4 linked regions of the Saccharomyces cerevisiae S288C genome follow. The gene in region 3 interacts genetically with the main gene of each other region. Each region holds a gene or a part of one and is shown on either strand. Other genes may lie near its edges. The genes, in order: RBG2, YRB1, CHM7 and GAL1.

The links.
Region 1: mutations in CHM7 (region 3) and RBG2 together harm fitness more than expected from each alone (negative genetic interaction), as found in Saccharomyces cerevisiae (one large-scale study listed by BioGRID).
Region 2: mutations in CHM7 (region 3) and YRB1 together harm fitness more than expected from each alone (negative genetic interaction), as found in Saccharomyces cerevisiae (one large-scale study listed by BioGRID).
Region 4: mutations in CHM7 (region 3) and GAL1 together harm fitness more than expected from each alone (negative genetic interaction), as found in Saccharomyces cerevisiae (one large-scale study listed by BioGRID).

What each region holds. Positions count from the first base shown.
Region 1 is NC_001139.9:842,271-847,515, reverse strand, and holds RBG2 (Rbg2p), read right to left. Parts: upstream 3,663-5,245; coding exon 2,556-3,662; downstream 1-2,555. Other genes in the region: ERG1 (squalene monooxygenase), read left to right, coding at 1-583; YGR174W-A (uncharacterized protein), read right to left, coding at 775-861; CBP4 (Cbp4p), read left to right, coding at 1,111-1,623; transporter YIP1, read left to right, coding at 3,925-4,671; methionine--tRNA ligase MSM1, read left to right, coding at 4,965-5,245.
Region 2 is NC_001136.10:449,767-454,895, reverse strand, and holds YRB1 (Ran GTPase-binding protein YRB1), read right to left. Parts: upstream 1,852-5,129; coding exon 1,246-1,851; downstream 1-1,245. Other genes in the region: YDR003W-A (uncharacterized protein), read right to left, coding at 1-114; RCR2 (Rcr2p), read right to left, coding at 142-774; alpha,alpha-trehalase NTH1, read left to right, coding at 2,421-4,676. UniProt on the Saccharomyces cerevisiae protein: Important for the export of protein containing nuclear export signal (NES) out of the nucleus. Stimulates the GTPase activity of GSP1 and GSP2.
Region 3 is NC_001142.9:344,416-349,880, forward strand, and holds CHM7 (phosphatidic acid-binding protein CHM7), read left to right. Parts: upstream 1-1,557; coding exon 1,558-2,910; downstream 2,911-5,465. Other genes in the region: ATP-dependent RNA helicase MTR4, read left to right, coding at 1-1,328; UBX6 (Ubx6p), read right to left, coding at 3,032-4,222; YJL047C-A (uncharacterized protein), read right to left, coding at 4,629-4,763; cullin RTT101, read right to left, coding at 5,165-5,465.
Region 4 is NC_001134.8:275,726-281,867, forward strand, and holds GAL1 (galactokinase), read left to right. Parts: upstream 1-3,295; coding exon 3,296-4,882; downstream 4,883-6,142. Other genes in the region: GAL10 (bifunctional UDP-glucose 4-epimerase/aldose 1-epimerase), read right to left, coding at 528-2,627; FUR4 (uracil permease), read left to right, coding at 5,718-6,142. UniProt on the Saccharomyces cerevisiae protein: Galactokinase is a key enzyme in the galactose metabolism where it catalyzes the conversion of alpha-D-galactose to galactose 1-phosphate.

The sequences.
Region 1 (5,245 bases), on a different chromosome or scaffold from region 3:
TGATGAAGCCGTCAGCCAAGGTAAATTTAGAGCTATGCCAAACTCCTACTTGCCAGCTAGACAAAACGACGTCACTGGTATGTGTGTTATCGGTGACGCTCTAAATATGAGACATCCATTGACTGGTGGTGGTATGACTGTCGGTTTGCATGATGTTGTCTTGTTGATTAAGAAAATAGGTGACCTAGACTTCAGCGACCGTGAAAAGGTTTTGGATGAATTACTAGACTACCATTTCGAAAGAAAGAGTTACGATTCCGTTATTAACGTTTTGTCAGTGGCTTTGTATTCTTTGTTCGCTGCTGACAGCGATAACTTGAAGGCATTACAAAAAGGTTGTTTCAAATATTTCCAAAGAGGTGGCGATTGTGTCAACAAACCCGTTGAATTTCTGTCTGGTGTCTTGCCAAAGCCTTTGCAATTGACCAGGGTTTTCTTCGCTGTCGCTTTTTACACCATTTACTTGAACATGGAAGAACGTGGTTTCTTGGGATTACCAATGGCTTTATTGGAAGGTATTATGATTTTGATCACAGCTATTAGAGTATTCACCCCATTTTTGTTTGGTGAGTTGATTGGTTAACTACAGCTTATAAGGGAGAGAGGATAGGAACCGTCAAACATTAAGCTGCACCTTTTTTTTTTATTACAGAAGTCGGCTTGGAAGGCTTGTATAGTACATTACGATAAACACATCTTATTTTTATTTATTACTTATTTATTTTACATATTTTCAAAAAAATTCACATATCATTTATTATTAACCGAAGTGTTTTATACTTTTTGTTCTTTCCTTAAAAATGCCTCCAACAGAAAAGGAAAAATGGCTTGATATGCTTCAAAATATGCATTGAGATTCATATTCGGTTATCAATTAACGATATTACTTCCTTAAGTGATATTAAATCAAGCTTGCCGGATTCTGCAGTCAGAATTATACATAATAGTATTTGTGCTCTCGTAAATCCTTTCAGAATTACACCATAGTAGTCTTTGTGAATGTTCTACTTATTAGAATAGATTATTGCTAGTTTATCTCACTTTTCATTCCCCATATCCCTTTTTTTGCTCATCCCCCGGGGTATTTTATCAAGATAAAATTTTATATACATGCAGTGCGCGATAACTCCTAGAGAGGCAGTAATAGCAAAACAAAGACAGTATAAGCATTATTTGGGTATGGAAAGACCATTGTGGGTACGTTGGTTGAAAGTCTATGCAATTGGTGGCGCTATTATTGGAAGCGGGTTTCTGCTTTTCAAGTACACAACGCCAACAGATCAACAGTTAATCAGCCAGCTTTCCCCAGAATTACGTTTACAATATGAGAGGGAGAAAAAACTACGTCAGTCGGAGCAGCAGGCTTTGATGAAAATTGTTAAGGAAACTTCTCAAAGTGACGATCCAATTTGGAAGACGGGCCCCCTTCAATCACCTTGGGAAAGGAACGGTGATAACGTTCAAAGCAGAGATCACTTTGCTAAGGTGAGGGCGGAGGAGGTGCAAAAAGAAGAGTTGGCTAGGATCAGAAATGAACTGTCTCAGCTAAGATCTGAAACGGAGGAGAAAACAAAGGAAATAGTCCAGGATAAGCAGGTTAAAAGCTGGTGGCGCTTCTGGTAGATGGGTCGGGTCACTCAATTAGGAAGGGCAGCTTGAACTTTTGCATCCTAAAACATACGTCTGTGTCATTTATGATATATTATTTATTTGTACACTGTAAATAGGTTTAAAAATATAACTTCATACTTATTTTTAGCTATTTTAGTTCCCATACTTGGGGATGGAAAAAACATTGCGCAAGCCCGGAATCGAACCGGGGGCCCAACGATGGCAACGTTGGATTTTACCACTAAACCACTTGCGCTTGTTATTTATATGAGATTATTGCATCATGCAATGGGGTAATGTCAAGGTTCTTGACAATCCTAATATAAACAGTCTTAGGGAAGTAACCAGTTGTCAAAACGGTTTATCAGCTTGATTCACGGGATCTTACTTATCCTATATATTATATAAAATATGGATCATACTAAATGGTGGAAGCGCGGAATCTTGGATCTAAACCAATTGTTCAGATACTTATACGTTAGAGTAGGTTAGCTAAGGAAGGCAGAGTTTTATTTTCATGTTGCTCATTCTGTTCGTTTTGCTGTAAGGTTGTTTCATATGTGTTTTATGAACGTTTAGGATGATGTATTGTCATACTGAGGTATCCCATTCTGAGATACAACAGAGAAGGTTCCTTTATACTTACTACACTAGGTACCACTATTATAATTTCGAGATTTCATTGTCATTCGGGTTTATTTATTCATTTGAAGCCCAGAATGACAATTTTTATGAACGGAGCTCTTCAAATTACATTATAAAAGTATATACGAATATACCATGAAAGTAACACCTTCCGGTTCTCACTAAAAAACCTATTTTCAGCATTTATTTCTACTACAAGGAAAATGAGTCCGTTTAGTCATGCAAAATCTCTGCTCCGTACTACAGTTCTCGATGCTGATCTTGTTTTTTCATGTTTCTTTAAAATCTATTCATTTATACTATTTCGCGAATAAAGAAACTACATCTTCATCATCAATCCTGTGGTTTAAGCCGCACTTCTGAGGAGAATGTTTGGCAGAAGAACCCCAAACCAATGCGTATTTGAACTTATCTTTGAAATCCCTGTGGATACCATGACATAAGTCACCAATAGTGGAATTATTTCTTACCACTAGAGGATCATCAAATACTGGTCTAACACCTCTCTTCTTTGTATACACACGACTCAAGTTCAGCTGGTACCAAATTTCTTCAACGACGTCTTGTAATCCCAAATCCATTTCACAGGACATAACAACGGTGTTTGGCTCTCTGGCAAGTTTATCCACCTCTTCTAATGATACTGCATCTATCTTATTATACACATAAAGACATTTGACATAATTTCTATGTTGTTCGTTAATAACATCGATAAAATCATCAATCGTACATTGGTCATCTCTTACCAGAACTTCTGCATTATGGATACGATAATCTCTCAAGATCATTTTGATTGCCTGTTCGGTTAAATTGGTCTTTGGAGGGGAGGTAAACGTAACTTTCACGCCACCAGTTTCTTTTTTCTTATAGTAAATATTTGGTTTCTCTTTATTAAGCCTGATGCCTACATTTTCCAGCTCCTTCTCCAAAGATGCTCTTTGATGTTCACTCTTTGTGGCATCTAAAACCATTAATACTAGATCTGCGGTCCTTGCTGTTGCAACAACTTGCCTACCACGACCTTTACCCTGCGAAGCACCATAAATAATACCTGGAAGATCCACAATTTGGATTTCTGCACCTTGGTACTTCAATACACCAGGAACGGATGTCAATGTCGTGAAAGCATAATGAGCGATCTCAGACTTGGTGGTGGTAATTTTACCCAATAAGGAGGACTTACCGACGGAGGGGTAACCTATTAAAACTACTCTAGCGTCACCTGATTTTGCCACTTCAAAACCAGACCCTCCTCCACCACCACTACCAGCTTCATCAGCTAGCAGTTGTTGTCTGTATCTAGCCAATTTCCCCTTCAAAAGACCCAGATGATGTTCTGTGGCCTTATTTTTTTGGGTTCTGGCCATTTCTTCTTCGATGGCTTTGATTTTGTCGATAATACCCATTTTGTAGTGCTTGTTACGTTAGTTTTGATAATGCGTATCTCGTTAGTACTTGTTCAATTCCAATATCAACAGCTTCAATATTGTACGACTTTTATAACTGGGTTTAAATCTCATCGCTATTATCACGAAAATTTTCACTTCGGGTAACCATTGATTATTTTGCTATTTGAGTGAGGTAACTACGTGACACGAACCAAGTCATCTTATAACAGCTACAAATTGGACGGGAAGTACTGCAAGACAACTATTAGTCCCTCTCGAGATGTCTTTCTACAATACTAGTAACAATGCTAATAATGGCGGTGGCTTTTATCAGCCTTCTGCACAATTTGCCGTTCCCCAAGGGTCAATGAGTTTTCAAAATACCGTCGGTTCTTCTAATACTGGCAACGATAACAATTTGGGTGTTGCCCCCGACCCTTTGCCTGTAGGTATTTTACATGCTCTTTCAACTAAGGGATATCCACATGAACCTCCATTACTGGAGGAAATTGGAATAAATTTCGATCATATCATAACGAAAACTAAAATGGTTCTTATACCAATACGTTTTGGTAGTGGTGTGCCACAAGAAATTCTAAACGATTCAGATTTGGCTGGGCCTTTGATATTCTTTTTGTTATTCGGACTTTTTCTATTGATGGCTGGAAAGGTTCATTTTGGATATATCTATGGTGTCGCTTTGTTTGGTACCATTTCTTTGCACAATCTATCGAAATTAATGAGCAATAACGATACTTCCACTCAAACGAACCTACAATTTTTCAATACAGCGTCCATCTTAGGATACTGCTTTTTGCCTCTGTGTTTCCTTTCTTTACTGGGCATTTTCCATGGTTTGAACAACACTACAGGTTATGTTGTATCAGTACTATTTGTAATTTGGAGTACTTGGACCTCGTCTGGATTTTTAAATTCTTTGCTCCAATTGCAAAATGCAAGATTGCTAATTGCCTACCCACTGTTGATTTTCTACAGTGTTTTTGCCCTCATGGTAATTTTTGTCTGAAGGGAATTGGCTTAGGGGCGATATTTGTATATATGTTTTTCTGAACTATGTTTGAATAAAGAGTGTATACAGCATTACATAATCACACTTACTTCCTTGTATAGTGCAAGCAATACCAGTACTAGGCAACATTGGATTACGAAGTGCCTTCTCTTTCTTTAAAAACTAAAACGTAGTCCAATGGTGGTTTCAAACAAATAAATCCGCACAACTGTGAAAAAAGAATGTAAATTTTAATGTTACTATTCTCCAGAGGTAAATAAGGAAAGCATAGGTTTTGATCGAAAGAAAACATGCAATGTCGATCAATTGTGCATCGTCTGTACTCTAAGGTCTCCCACGTAACGACGCCAATTTTCTATCCCAATGCCAAACCGCACCTCGGCCATCTTTACTCCAGCTTATTAAGTGACGTTTACCATCGATGGCAATTATTTAAAGGTAATCTATCCTTCTTTACCACAGGTACTGATGAACATGGATTGAAAATCCAGTGTGCTAGTGAAAGCAATGGCTTCGATCAGCCAAAAAAGTTCGTCGATAAGCTATACCCAGAGTTTGTTCAATTAGACAA
Region 2 (5,129 bases), on a different chromosome or scaffold from region 3:
TGTTCCTACTATAATACACAACTCGGAATAATCGCGACTTTCAAAGAAACGAAAACTTCTGTACTTCTTTTTTTTTTCAGCACTCTTATAACTATTTTCTATACCGCAAGTCATGCGATAATAAATTCATTAAACGAAAAATCACTTACTCACTTTCGCTCTTGCCGGCGCGTTATTAACATCAAAGGAAGAAGATTCAACAGTCGGAGAATGCTGCTCGTTGCGATTACTCTGACCATTAACGAAATTATTCATAGTGGGTCTTAGCAGATTGAAGTCGAATTCACTTTCACTAGGAATTCGTACGACGGCAGCCACTGGGCGCTGTAAGTCTTTATCAGTCGAGCTAGCTTGTTCTTCTGATAAAGGCGGTGGCGCTAAATATTCCGTTTTGCCATTAGGATGAAACTCTCCTCGTTCGTCGTAAAACCCCAAATCATTCTCATTTGCTGTCTCTGTATATTCAGGAACATAGTCTTCAACGCAACGCTGTGTGCCATTGTAATCTCTCTCGGACTGCCTGTAGGTAGGCGGGGTTAACCAAGCGGTTCCCCTAATCGGAGCTTGACCCATAATTCTTCTTCTCCTATTCACTTTTGCAGTTGAAAACAGAAGTATAAGGAGTGCAACTATGAAAAAAATAAAAAAAATCCATCTTCCCCATCTCCATGAGGAAGAGCTAAATGGATCATCATCTGTAATCGCTTCACCATTGTTATTATTATCATCCTGTCTTTTATGTATTAGGAAGTCGATCTGCTCCCGTAAAATCATTTCAAAACTATACTCTCTGTTTAGCTAAATTTCCTTCAGCTTTCTAGCGAGCTAAGGAATGTATTCCAAATTTACTGCTCCTTTATTACGTCAAAAATTTCTATAGTATTCGATTCTCATTAGTAATTATAAAGGAGTAGCGAGAAAAACAAAAATAAAAGGGCGGAAACATAAAGATGGTAAATAAGACAGAGAATATTACCCGGAAACATACTACGAGATTATTGAGCTAATCTCCATGCACCAAAGTGGTTAGACATTTGGCTACATTGACTACTGCAACAATTACTTGAACCCTCTAATCCTTCTTACATATCTATTCATATGTGATTTCACAATGCTACATAAGCGTTTTTTATATAATTAAAGAGCAACTTTTCCTCACAGTAGATAAAAATATATATGCACGCTGTAAAGGAAAATTACATTAGGAACAAAAAAATCTAGACGCAAGTAACAAGCACATCGAAACTAAGCCTTTTTGTTGATTTCTTGAGCTTTTTCAAATTCTTCTTTAAATTTATCAGCATTTTCCTTACTGCCAAATCTGATAGCAAAAGTGAAGGCTTCTGCTTCACCTTCTGCAATATCTGCTGTACAAGCATACACCCAAGATCTATCAGAACCAACGTTAGGCTTCAAAGTGTATTCTGGAGCAATGATGTGGTTAGCACAAATCTTTAAGGTCTTGTCTCTTCTCATCAATATTCTAACCTTGTTAGTCTTTTTGTTCTTCAAGAACTTACAGTCACCAGTACCTCTTTCTTTCCATTCCTTGGCATCGGCATCGAATCTGAAAAGCTTGGCTCTGACCTTGTAAAGAACTTCTTCGTCTTCTTCCATTGTCTTAACATCTACCTTTTCCAGGTGAACCACTGGTTCAAAATGGATATCTGGTGATTCTGGAGCATCATCACCTTCCTTCTTGGTTTCCTCCTTGGTATCTTCTTCGTCTTTCTTGGTTTCTGGCTTTTCGGCCTTCTTACCACCAAACATGGAGAAGACAGCAGAGGATGGTGGCTTTGGAGCAGCCTCTTCCTTCTTGTCGACGACAGGTTTCTTATCTTCGCTAGACATTCTTTTTCTATAGTTGTGTTTATCTTCTTGCTTTTATTTCAAATTAAACAAGATCTTTCTTCTTTCTCCAATTGAATATCAATTTCATCATCAGATTTTAGTTTCTGTTTTATTTTTTATTTTTTTATTTTTTTTTTGTTTCTTGTTTTCCGCGTACTTCCCGCTGGGCGAAAAAAGAAATGAAAAAAAGAAACGACAGGAGCATCGTGTAGGACGAAGCCCCTTATCCCCTAGTTACCGAAGAAGGCCACCAATCTTAAGTTTGATAGAGCAGTACTTATATAAGGCTATATATAGACTGGTTCACAAGGTTATCAATATGAAACTTGCGCGATCACCGATTTACGGGATTTTTCAGGAGCGAGGTACAAGATTTGTTGGCCTGAAAAGATCGCAAAACATTAGCTAGAAATTTTCCCCCTATCGTTTTCCGTAGAGTAAATATAATATCAAGAAGATAGTTTTATATTGACTGATTTCACAACCAACTGCATAGATATAAGGAGATTACTAGATACAAGAACGCCTGATAAACAAAAAAAGAAAAATTAACAAAAAAAATCAGTAGAATGAGTCAAGTTAATACAAGCCAAGGACCGGTAGCCCAAGGCCGTCAAAGAAGATTATCATCACTAAGTGAATTCAATGATCCATTTTCGAACGCAGAAGTCTACTATGGCCCCCCAACAGACCCAAGAAAGCAGAAGCAGGCAAAGCCCGCTAAGATCAACCGTACGAGGACTATGAGTGTTTTCGATAATGTATCTCCTTTCAAGAAAACTGGTTTTGGTAAACTTCAACAGACTAGACGTGGTTCTGAGGATGACACCTATTCAAGTAGTCAAGGTAATCGTCGTTTCTTTATCGAAGATGTCGATAAAACACTTAATGAACTACTGGCTGCTGAGGATACCGATAAAAATTATCAGATCACCATCGAGGATACCGGTCCAAAAGTTTTGAAAGTCGGTACCGCAAACTCCTATGGCTATAAGCATATTAATATTAGGGGTACGTATATGTTATCCAATTTGTTGCAGGAACTAACTATTGCGAAAAGTTTTGGTAGACACCAAATTTTCTTAGATGAAGCTCGTATAAACGAAAATCCCGTCAACAGATTATCAAGATTGATAAACACACAGTTCTGGAACTCTTTGACCAGGAGAGTTGATCTGAACAACGTAGGCGAAATTGCAAAAGATACCAAGATTGATACGCCGGGGGCAAAAAATCCAAGAATCTATGTTCCTTATGATTGTCCAGAACAATACGAATTTTATGTTCAAGCTTCTCAAATGCATCCATCTTTGAAATTAGAAGTTGAATATTTACCAAAAAAAATAACGGCAGAATACGTCAAATCCGTCAATGATACCCCCGGTTTACTAGCATTGGCTATGGAAGAGCACTTCAATCCTTCTACTGGTGAAAAAACTCTCATTGGTTACCCTTATGCTGTTCCTGGTGGTAGATTCAATGAATTATATGGTTGGGACTCCTATATGATGGCACTAGGTCTCCTAGAAGCCAACAAGACTGATGTTGCAAGAGGTATGGTGGAGCATTTTATTTTTGAGATTAATCACTATGGAAAAATATTGAATGCTAACAGAAGCTACTATCTATGTAGATCACAGCCCCCATTCTTGACTGAAATGGCCTTGGTAGTATTCAAAAAACTTGGTGGTAGGAGTAATCCCGATGCTGTGGATTTGTTGAAAAGAGCTTTCCAAGCAAGCATAAAAGAGTACAAAACTGTTTGGACCGCATCTCCAAGGCTTGATCCCGAAACAGGCTTATCCAGGTACCATCCTAACGGTCTCGGTATTCCTCCGGAAACTGAAAGTGATCACTTCGATACCGTTTTACTACCATATGCATCGAAACACGGCGTTACCTTAGACGAATTTAAGCAACTTTATAACGATGGTAAGATAAAGGAGCCTAAATTGGATGAGTTTTTTCTTCATGACCGTGGCGTTAGAGAATCTGGACACGACACTACATATAGGTTTGAGGGCGTATGTGCCTACCTGGCCACTATTGACCTGAATTCTCTTCTTTACAAATACGAGATTGATATTGCAGACTTCATAAAGGAATTCTGCGACGACAAATATGAAGATCCTTTAGACCATTCTATAACAACTTCAGCTATGTGGAAAGAAATGGCCAAAATCAGACAAGAAAAGATTACCAAATATATGTGGGATGACGAGTCGGGGTTTTTCTTTGACTACAACACAAAAATCAAGCACAGAACGTCATACGAATCCGCAACTACATTCTGGGCATTATGGGCTGGACTTGCCACGAAGGAGCAAGCACAGAAAATGGTGGAGAAAGCACTACCCAAGTTAGAGATGCTTGGAGGTTTAGCTGCATGTACGGAGCGTTCTCGAGGCCCAATTTCTATTTCGAGACCAATTAGACAATGGGACTATCCATTTGGTTGGGCACCCCATCAAATTCTTGCTTGGGAAGGCCTCCGTTCTTATGGTTATTTAACTGTAACGAATAGGCTAGCTTATAGATGGCTTTTCATGATGACAAAGGCTTTTGTCGATTATAATGGTATTGTGGTTGAAAAATATGATGTCACAAGAGGAACAGATCCTCATCGTGTTGAAGCAGAATACGGTAATCAAGGTGCTGACTTTAAAGGGGCAGCTACTGAAGGTTTTGGATGGGTCAATGCCAGTTACATTCTTGGTTTGAAGTATATGAACAGTCACGCAAGAAGAGCGCTTGGTGCTTGCATTCCACCAATATCATTCTTTAGCAGTTTAAGGCCTCAAGAAAGAAACCTCTATGGACTATAGTTGAGATAATATATATATATATATATATATACTCCAGGTACAGTCCTCTAGGTACCTAAATCCTCTTTATATGATCTGCCGATAGATAGTTCTAAGTCATTGAGGTTCATCAACAATTGGATTTTCTGTTTACTCGACTTCAGGTAATGAAATGAGATGATACTTGCTTATCTCATAGTTAACTGGCATAAATTTTAGTATAGGTTAACTCTAAGAGGTGATACTTATTTACTGTAAAACTGTGACGATAAAACCGGAAGGAAGAATAAGAAAACTCGAACTGATCTATAATGCCTATTTTCTGTAAAGAGTTTAAGCTATGAAAGCCTCGGCATTTTGGCCGCTCCTAGGTAGTGCTTTTTTTCCAAGGACAAAACAGTTTCTTTTTCTTGAGCAGGTTTTATGTTTCGGTAATCATAAACAATAAATAAATTATTTCATTTATGTTTAAAA
Region 3 (5,465 bases):
TTGATGGCATCGAAGTCGAAGATGAAGAAAATGTTAAAGAATACCATGAGATTGAGCAGGCTATCAAAGGTTACCGTGAAGATGTTCGTCAAGTTGTCACCCATCCGGCAAACGCCTTAAGTTTCCTACAACCAGGCAGATTAGTTGAAATCTCTGTCAATGGTAAGGATAACTATGGCTGGGGTGCTGTTGTCGATTTTGCTAAAAGAATTAACAAACGCAACCCAAGTGCTGTCTATACAGACCATGAATCCTATATTGTCAATGTGGTCGTCAATACCATGTATATAGACTCTCCAGTCAACTTGTTGAAACCTTTCAACCCTACCTTACCAGAAGGGATTCGCCCAGCGGAAGAAGGTGAAAAAAGCATATGTGCTGTTATTCCCATAACTTTGGATTCAATCAAGTCGATTGGTAATTTGAGACTATATATGCCCAAAGATATTAGAGCCAGCGGTCAAAAAGAAACTGTTGGGAAGTCTTTAAGGGAGGTTAATCGGAGGTTCCCGGATGGTATTCCCGTGCTGGATCCTGTTAAAAACATGAAGATCGAAGATGAGGACTTTTTAAAGCTAATGAAGAAGATTGACGTTTTAAACACAAAGTTATCCTCCAATCCCTTAACCAATTCCATGAGACTAGAAGAACTATATGGTAAATATAGTAGAAAACACGATTTACATGAAGATATGAAACAATTGAAACGCAAAATTTCAGAATCACAAGCCGTAATCCAACTGGACGATCTTCGTCGCCGTAAAAGAGTTTTGCGCCGTTTAGGATTTTGTACTCCTAATGACATTATTGAACTGAAAGGTAGAGTTGCATGTGAAATATCTAGTGGTGATGAACTGTTACTAACAGAATTGATCTTCAATGGTAATTTCAATGAGTTGAAACCGGAACAAGCAGCAGCATTATTATCATGCTTTGCATTCCAAGAACGCTGTAAAGAAGCGCCTAGATTGAAACCAGAGCTTGCCGAACCTTTGAAGGCTATGAGAGAAATTGCAGCAAAGATCGCTAAGATAATGAAGGATTCTAAAATTGAAGTTGTAGAAAAGGACTACGTTGAAAGCTTCAGACATGAACTAATGGAAGTTGTTTACGAATGGTGTAGAGGAGCTACTTTTACGCAAATCTGTAAAATGACCGACGTTTACGAAGGTTCGTTGATCAGAATGTTCAAGAGATTAGAGGAATTGGTGAAGGAGCTGGTAGACGTCGCCAATACCATTGGTAACTCTTCACTTAAGGAGAAGATGGAAGCTGTCTTGAAATTAATTCATAGAGATATCGTATCTGCTGGTTCTTTGTATTTATAGTTAATCACACACAATTATGTATTTTTATTGGTATATATAATAAACAAATAGATTTCATCAACATTTATTATATAATAACATTTTTGTTTGGGCAAGCACACTATTGATACACCCATACAACTCAATGAAGTGCAGCGTTAGTAGAGACAATAAGAGGAGTTTTAAATTCTTAAACTATATCTGGCAAAACACCACCAAAGCCAGCCAAATAGTATCTCACTGTATCTGAATGAAAGTAGATTTACCAGAATCCAGACTACCATCTTTATATAGAGATTTTAGGCCATTGAAAGATTTAAATCCCGATGGGTACGAAGCAAACATCAGTACATGGAGGGATTTCTTCTTGCAACAATACATCAGCAACTCCAACAGAATCATATTTACTATAGGGACAAGGACTTTGCAAGAATTAACTCATGAAGTTTATGGCGTACCGAAAAGCATTGATATAGCAATTGACGTTCTTGTTAATGAAGGAAATTTGATACCTATGGAATTATTCAATCTTGGTGGAATGTACACTGACAACAGTAGAAAAGGATTTTGGAAGTGGGTTAGAAGTTGGAAGGAGTCTACAAACATGTATAAAAGCCGGAAGGATGAAACAAATTTCTACTTGAGAGAAGACAAATTTATTATCAAAGCAAATTTGGAAAAAGAGTATCAAAGGTTTCATGAATTACTCAAAAGAAGTGTTTTTATGGAGGCTTCATCTATTACAGATTTAGTATTCACAAGGAATGAATTTGTGACCACAGAAAGTTTGCAGTCGTTCTTTTCAACCTATGATGAAGAAACGAAAAACGTGTTCCTGCACTTTATAGAGAATTATAAGCACATAATAGTTTCAAAAGACAATGTTATCAAAGTCATTGCCGCTGAAGTAGAAGACATTACTAGCAGGTTCTCCAAAGGCATCACAGAAAATGACCTTCGAATTGCTAGTGTTAAAGTGGGTATTATAAACATCAACAAACAAATTACAAGGCTAAGAAAAGAAATTAATGAATCTAACATTAAACTGAGAGGACCAGAGTTTAATGAGCTGCCGAAGAGAATAAGGATTGAATATAAACAGGCGAGATTACTATCTGAAAAACATCTTTCTAGGTTACTAAAGTTTCAAAATAACCTCGCTCAAGTAAGAACTCAAATAGACACCAGTGCTACTAATGCGGTTTTAATTCAAACTTTAAGTGAATCCAACGAAGTAATTAAGTCAATTAATGGATATATTGGTTCTACCGAAAAAGTAGAAGACTTACTAGATGAGATTAAAGAGGGTCATGACCGTACCGAAGAGGTCAATGATTTATTAGCTCATTATAATAAAGGTCAAGACGAAGAAGCAGAAGAAGAAATTGAAAGAGAATTAGAACAATTAGAACTTGATGAAAAGAATAATAATAAGGAAGAAAATAAGAACCAGGATTTGCACGAGCCAAAAGAAAGCAGTAGCGAGGATCTATTAAAGAGATTGAATAATCTGAAGATAAATACAAATGAAGGACCTGTGCAAGATAATGAAAACCACGATAATGAGATAAGAAAAATCATGATGGAAGAACAACCACGTTGACGAACTGAGTGACTAATAAATAAATATATATGTATAAATAAAAAATAAATATGAATATTTTAATAGACGGAAGAAAGAAAATATGTGTGAATAACCAAATAGGAAATAAACAAAAGCACATTTAATTGTTGCCGTTATTATTAGAGTAACCTAATGTACGAACTTTGGTATTAGATGCAGAATTATTGGAAGACAAGTTTAGTTCAGACACGTTTTGTCGCAATTGAGAAGTACCATTAGAAGGATACATCCTTGGGGTAGTATATGCTGAAGGAGTCATTGAATCACCACCACCTCCTCCTCCCCCGTCCGACACCATGTCTAAGCTAGATAATTTTTGTAAAGAGTAGTTGGCGCTGTTTGACACATTTGTGCCCAACCTCTGGTAACCAAGACGGGAGGAGGAAGCATCTACTTCCGGTTCTTTCGCCCAAAAAGATGTCAAACCTGAGTAAACCTTGTGTAGAAGAGAAGATTGTTCCATGTAGTCGAATGTTTTGTTATTGGCTTCCAGCGGTTCTAAGATGAGAGTCGATCTGGGCAACAGATCCAACTCTTGCAAACTTTTGAGTTCGTCATTTCGCGTAAGAGTCACTCTTGGTATATTTCTGTGGAAAAGGTAAGGTGTTCCATCATCGTAGCAATTATAGTCTAACCACATCCTTACTTTGTGTAATTTTGTTTGAGGAGGGAAAGTATTAGAGATTGTGTAACCATTGGGCAGTTTCAATTGTAGAGTACAGTAGTTCTGGGCGAGAAACCCCTTTTGACTCTTGTAACTAACATTATCAGTAACTGTCAACTGCTTCCACTTCTGTGGCTTTCTTTGCGGGTCATTAGTATTTTGAAAAACATACTTCCTCTCCAACTTGTCGTTCTGAATCATTCTTTTGACTCTTTGATATTCTTCATTGCTCTTGGAAAATAACTTCCTCTTTGTTACTTGACCCTTAAAGACTGATTGTAACCCATTGATAAAGGTTTCCCAAGGATCCTGCTCACGAGAAAGGCTATTACCTTGGATAGAACATTCGAGTAGACCGTTCTGTAATATGTTAATGCTTGGCGCCGATGAGGAGGGGAAAATGCTCTTGAAAAGCAAGCACTCTTTAGTACCATTTACTAACCTTACCCACAGTATGTTTTCGCGCTCCTCGTCACTAAGATTTCCTGGTTTGAACCACTGATGAAGCCAAGAATTGTCCCCGGCTGCTGAACTAATGTAAACGACGATAACCTGCTCACTAGTATGAGAGTAATCATGAACAACTCGATCATGAAAGAGGCTGTCTATACCTGACATCTCGTACATTTCTGTTATTCAATACCTGTAATTCACTTCCTTTGAGGGTCAAAAATGTCCCCTGTAAGCAAGTGTATAAGTATATAATTATATATATGTGCATATATATGTCCCTATACAACTACTAACGAATCTTAAAAGTTGACTATTCATGTGGAAAAAGTCCCTCTTCTAGGGTTGACGCGCTAGAGGTAAATCCATTAAGGTTCCTCCTGGCTTCGTTAACTCCGAAAAGAATAGCATGTGCAAGATGAGTTACCGAAAGAAGCAATAAAGAAAGCACGAGTACATGTAGAACAGGGGCACAGATAATACCAGACAGATGAGCCCACTTTTAAGAGTTTCAAAACTTCCACGAATGCACAGGGAGAATAAAGTACGCGCTGGGTCCGTTACGATTCGTGCTGCAAGAGGTTTAAAATCGCTCCACAATGGTCTCGCCCCTCGGCCCTTCTCCAATTACAAGCATATTACTAATACAGTTTTCGTTTCTTTTGTAATGTTCAGATAGGAGCGAAAGACTAATTTCGATGGAAATTTTTATCTTCATTTCGATAGTATGTTCAATCAGTTGAACTATGCATCTTTGGTTATCATCATTAACAAATTGAAACGAAAAGCTATCCTGCCAAGAAGGCCGGATAGAGAGATTGAAAAAGATATATAAAGTGTCCTTGTCACACTCATACAACACCTGTTGTATGTCAGGCATACGGCAAATTGACTACAGTTTGCATTTGCACTAATGTCGTTTGCAGTGTAACTGTTGTATTGAACGTGGACAAGGACAAGAAAGATAGTTTTTATCTCTTGATGTTTTTTTATATGGAGGAGAAAGCGACGAAGTCGAAAAAAACGAAAGGAAATAAAATGCTGTCGGAAAAAAAGTTAGGGCTGGTACGGATTATAAACTATCTCAGTAGTTAGGTAATATATAAGATGGCACCAGTCTTAGTACTTGTAAGTTGCTGTTGATTCGTCCCTAGTTATGAATTTGTCTCGTAACAACTTGGCCAAGGCGTCTTTGAACTCACCAACACTAAAGCCTTTTATCTGCTGCTTTACCGTTTCAAATAAATGGTCGTAGTCTAGCCCATTCCTCTCGCTCTTAACGGATCTAGTTATGCATGCCTTTAGTAATTCTTGGGTCCATTGGGAATTACTTCCTTCGTGGTGTGCAGAACTGGTTCTTTCACCGCCTGTGTTGCTACTTTGGAGAGACGCGGTTCTCGGTAGAACCACACGTAGTTTC
Region 4 (6,142 bases), on a different chromosome or scaffold from region 3:
TTTTGGACCCTTTCCCTTATTTTTGGGTTAAGGAAAATGACAGAAAATATATCTAATGAGCCTTCGCTCAACAGTGCTCCGAAGTATAGCTTTCCAAAAGGAGAGGCAAAGCAATTTAAGAATGTATGAACAAAATAAAGGGGAAAAATTACCCCCTCTACTTTACCAAACGAATACTACCAATAATATTTACAACTTTTCCTTATGATTTTTTCACTGAAGCGCTTCGCAATAGTTGTGAGTGATATCAAAAGTAACGAAATGAACTCCGCGGCTCGTGCTATATTCTTGTTGCTACCGTCCATATCTTTCCATAGATTTTCAATTTTTGATGTCTCCATGGTGGTACAGAGAACTTGTAAACAATTCGGTCCCTACATGTGAGGAAATTCGCTGTGACACTTTTATCACTGAACTCCAAATTTAAAAAATAGCATAAAATTCGTTATACAGCAAATCTATGTGTTGCAATTAAGAACTAAAAGATATAGAGTGCATATTTTCAAGAAGGATAGTAAGCTGGCAAATCAGGAAAATCTGTAGACAATCTTGGACCCGTAAGTTTCACCGTTTTTCAAGGTTACACAATCTTTCCAGTTCTCTTGATTGATAGCATCAATGTATCTACCAGGCTCAATTGCAAAACCTTGTCTTGCTTCGTAACCAGCAGACAAGAAATCACCGGTATAAAATTGATAAGTTGGCTCTGTACTTAAAACTTCTAATGTAATATTGGAATCGGGATGAAAAGCCTTGACAATAAGCGTCAATTCATTGTTTAGAGTATTGATTTGACTTGGCTTAGCATTTTCATCCACCACAAAACAACAATCAAACTGGGGATTTTTGGGGCCTAAGACCGTTGGCTTTGTAGAGTTAAAGGTAGCAATTTCTCTATCGACGATATTACCCGTAGGAATCATGTTTTTGTCGACATCAACAGATTTTTTTGAACGCACCATAATCTCCGTACCCTCAATAGTGTCTCCATATGGCTTGTTCAGATTGAAATAACTATGATTTGTTAAATTTATTGGCGTCGCTTCACCAGCAGTCAATTTACCTTTATATACCATTTCCAAACTTTTTTGGGCAACGTTCACAGTATACTGTATGGTTACCAATAGATCACCTGGAAATTCGGTGTCCTTCTCATTATCTATCAGCATGTACTCGGCGGTAAAAACATCCTTTGAAGGATTTTGAATGATGGGTCCCAAAAATCTTTTTCTGTGGAAAGAACCGATACTACTATGATTCGCATTAACGCCGTTATTAACGGTTAACTGATAGTCTTTGTTGCATAAACTAAACTTACCCTTCGAAATACGATTAGCATACCTGCCGATCGTGGCGCCTATATAAGCACTATCAGGATTCAAATACCCTTCCTCATTTTCATAGCCAAGAACAACTGATTGTCCGTTCACTTTCAGGTCAACAATGCTGGCGCCCAAATTGGCAAACGTGGCTTGAAATCTGGTGCCGGCACCAATAGTCACAAATCTTGCGTCATAACGCATATCTTCAGCGGAAAATCTGGCCTCGACACCCCTTAACTGGTAACCAAAAGGATTCTCAGTAGTCCATTTCCATAAATCCTTGCAGGAGTCTTCAACCTGCAACTCGGTCTGCCATTTCAGTTCGCGTTTGGCCCTATCTGGTTTAGCCGTCAAGTTCAAAACATCACCTGCTCTTCTGCCCGTAACTTTGTATGGAAGATCAATACCAGAAGCTTTGCAGAATGCATGATAAACTTCAAAAACTGTAGAACCTTTACCGGAACCCAAGTTCCACTCACGACACAAACCTTCATTTTCATTGTAGGCCTCTAGGTATTGCAGGGCTGCAATATGACCTTTTGCTAGATCAACTACGTGGATATAATCCCTGATCGGGGTACCATCTCTGGAATCATAATCGTCTCCGAAGATGTAAAGCTTCTCGCGCCTACCAACAGCTACTTGAGCCATATATGGCAACAAATTGTTTGGTATACCTAGCGGATCTTCTCCGATTAATCCAGAGGGATGTGCGCCAATTGGGTTAAAATAACGCAAGATAGCAAACTTCCAACTTTTTTTGTCGCTATTGTAAAGATCATTCAAGATATTCTCAATGGCGTATTTCGTATGACCATACGGATTAGTAGGCCCTAAGGGACATTCTTCTGGGATAGGAATCATATTTGGGAATCTCGTAGCATCACCATAGACAGTAGCAGAAGATGAAAAAACAAATTTGGAAACGTTGTATTGTTGCATTAACTCTAATAAAACGACAGTTCCCAAAATGTTATTGTGATAGTATCTCAGCGGGATTTGTGTAGATTCACCTACAGCCTTTAAACCAGCAAAGTGAATTACCGAATCAATTTTATATTCTTTGAAAACCTTTTCCAGACCTTTTCGGTCACACAAATCAACCTCATAGAAGGGAATGTGATGCTTGGTCAAGACCTCTAACCTGGCTACAGAATCATAAGTTGAATTCGACAGGTTATCAGCAACAACACAGTCATATCCATTCTCAATTAGCTCTACCACAGTGTGTGAACCAATGTATCCAGCACCACCTGTAACCAAAACAATTTTAGAAGTACTTTCACTTTGTAACTGAGCTGTCATTTATATTGAATTTTCAAAAATTCTTACTTTTTTTTTGGATGGACGCAAAGAAGTTTAATAATCATATTACATGGCATTACCACCATATACATATCCATATCTAATCTTACTTATATGTTGTGGAAATGTAAAGAGCCCCATTATCTTAGCCTAAAAAAACCTTCTCTTTGGAACTTTCAGTAATACGCTTAACTGCTCATTGCTATATTGAAGTACGGATTAGAAGCCGCCGAGCGGGCGACAGCCCTCCGACGGAAGACTCTCCTCCGTGCGTCCTCGTCTTCACCGGTCGCGTTCCTGAAACGCAGATGTGCCTCGCGCCGCACTGCTCCGAACAATAAAGATTCTACAATACTAGCTTTTATGGTTATGAAGAGGAAAAATTGGCAGTAACCTGGCCCCACAAACCTTCAAATTAACGAATCAAATTAACAACCATAGGATGATAATGCGATTAGTTTTTTAGCCTTATTTCTGGGGTAATTAATCAGCGAAGCGATGATTTTTGATCTATTAACAGATATATAAATGGAAAAGCTGCATAACCACTTTAACTAATACTTTCAACATTTTCAGTTTGTATTACTTCTTATTCAAATGTCATAAAAGTATCAACAAAAAATTGTTAATATACCTCTATACTTTAACGTCAAGGAGAAAAAACTATAATGACTAAATCTCATTCAGAAGAAGTGATTGTACCTGAGTTCAATTCTAGCGCAAAGGAATTACCAAGACCATTGGCCGAAAAGTGCCCGAGCATAATTAAGAAATTTATAAGCGCTTATGATGCTAAACCGGATTTTGTTGCTAGATCGCCTGGTAGAGTCAATCTAATTGGTGAACATATTGATTATTGTGACTTCTCGGTTTTACCTTTAGCTATTGATTTTGATATGCTTTGCGCCGTCAAAGTTTTGAACGAGAAAAATCCATCCATTACCTTAATAAATGCTGATCCCAAATTTGCTCAAAGGAAGTTCGATTTGCCGTTGGACGGTTCTTATGTCACAATTGATCCTTCTGTGTCGGACTGGTCTAATTACTTTAAATGTGGTCTCCATGTTGCTCACTCTTTTCTAAAGAAACTTGCACCGGAAAGGTTTGCCAGTGCTCCTCTGGCCGGGCTGCAAGTCTTCTGTGAGGGTGATGTACCAACTGGCAGTGGATTGTCTTCTTCGGCCGCATTCATTTGTGCCGTTGCTTTAGCTGTTGTTAAAGCGAATATGGGCCCTGGTTATCATATGTCCAAGCAAAATTTAATGCGTATTACGGTCGTTGCAGAACATTATGTTGGTGTTAACAATGGCGGTATGGATCAGGCTGCCTCTGTTTGCGGTGAGGAAGATCATGCTCTATACGTTGAGTTCAAACCGCAGTTGAAGGCTACTCCGTTTAAATTTCCGCAATTAAAAAACCATGAAATTAGCTTTGTTATTGCGAACACCCTTGTTGTATCTAACAAGTTTGAAACCGCCCCAACCAACTATAATTTAAGAGTGGTAGAAGTCACTACAGCTGCAAATGTTTTAGCTGCCACGTACGGTGTTGTTTTACTTTCTGGAAAAGAAGGATCGAGCACGAATAAAGGTAATCTAAGAGATTTCATGAACGTTTATTATGCCAGATATCACAACATTTCCACACCCTGGAACGGCGATATTGAATCCGGCATCGAACGGTTAACAAAGATGCTAGTACTAGTTGAAGAGTCTCTCGCCAATAAGAAACAGGGCTTTAGTGTTGACGATGTCGCACAATCCTTGAATTGTTCTCGCGAAGAATTCACAAGAGACTACTTAACAACATCTCCAGTGAGATTTCAAGTCTTAAAGCTATATCAGAGGGCTAAGCATGTGTATTCTGAATCTTTAAGAGTCTTGAAGGCTGTGAAATTAATGACTACAGCGAGCTTTACTGCCGACGAAGACTTTTTCAAGCAATTTGGTGCCTTGATGAACGAGTCTCAAGCTTCTTGCGATAAACTTTACGAATGTTCTTGTCCAGAGATTGACAAAATTTGTTCCATTGCTTTGTCAAATGGATCATATGGTTCCCGTTTGACCGGAGCTGGCTGGGGTGGTTGTACTGTTCACTTGGTTCCAGGGGGCCCAAATGGCAACATAGAAAAGGTAAAAGAAGCCCTTGCCAATGAGTTCTACAAGGTCAAGTACCCTAAGATCACTGATGCTGAGCTAGAAAATGCTATCATCGTCTCTAAACCAGCATTGGGCAGCTGTCTATATGAATTATAAGTATACTTCTTTTTTTTACTTTGTTCAGAACAACTTCTCATTTTTTTCTACTCATAACTTTAGCATCACAAAATACGCAATAATAACGAGTAGTAACACTTTTATAGTTCATACATGCTTCAACTACTTAATAAATGATTGTATGATAATGTTTTCAATGTAAGAGATTTCGATTATCCACAAACTTTAAAACACAGGGACAAAATTCTTGATATGCTTTCAACCGCTGCGTTTTGGATACCTATTCTTGACATGATATGACTACCATTTTGTTATTGTACGTGGGGCAGTTGACGTCTTATCATATGTCAAAGTCATTTGCGAAGTTCTTGGCAAGTTGCCAACTGACGAGATGCAGTAAAAAGAGATTGCCGTCTTGAAACTTTTTGTCCTTTTTTTTTTCCGGGGACTCTACGAGAACCCTTTGTCCTACTGATTAATTTTGTACTGAATTTGGACAATTCAGATTTTAGTAGACAAGCGCGAGGAGGAAAAGAAATGACAGAAAAATTCCGATGGACAAGAAGATAGGAAAAAAAAAAAGCTTTCACCGATTTCCTAGACCGGAAAAAAGTCGTATGACATCAGAATGAAAAATTTTCAAGTTAGACAAGGACAAAATCAGGACAAATTGTAAAGATATAATAAACTATTTGATTCAGCGCCAATTTGCCCTTTTCCATTTTCCATTAAATCTCTGTTCTCTCTTACTTATATGATGATTAGGTATCATCTGTATAAAACTCCTTTCTTAATTTCACTCTAAAGCATACCCCATAGAGAAGATCTTTCGGTTCGAAGACATTCCTACGCATAATAAGAATAGGAGGGAATAATGCCAGACAATCTATCATTACATTTAAGCGGCTCTTCAAAAAGATTGAACTCTCGCCAACTTATGGAATCTTCCAATGAGACCTTTGCGCCAAATAATGTGGATTTGGAAAAAGAGTATAAGTCATCTCAGAGTAATATAACTACCGAAGTTTATGAGGCATCGAGCTTTGAAGAAAAAGTAAGCTCAGAAAAACCTCAATACAGCTCATTCTGGAAGAAAATCTATTATGAATATGTGGTCGTTGACAAATCAATCTTGGGTGTTTCTATTCTGGATTCATTTATGTACAACCAGGACTTGAAGCCCGTCGAAAAAGAAAGGCGGGTTTGGTCCTGGTACAATTATTGTTACTTCTGGCTTGCTGAATGTTTCAATATCAACACTTGGCAAATTGCAGCTACAGGTCTACAACTGGGTCTAAA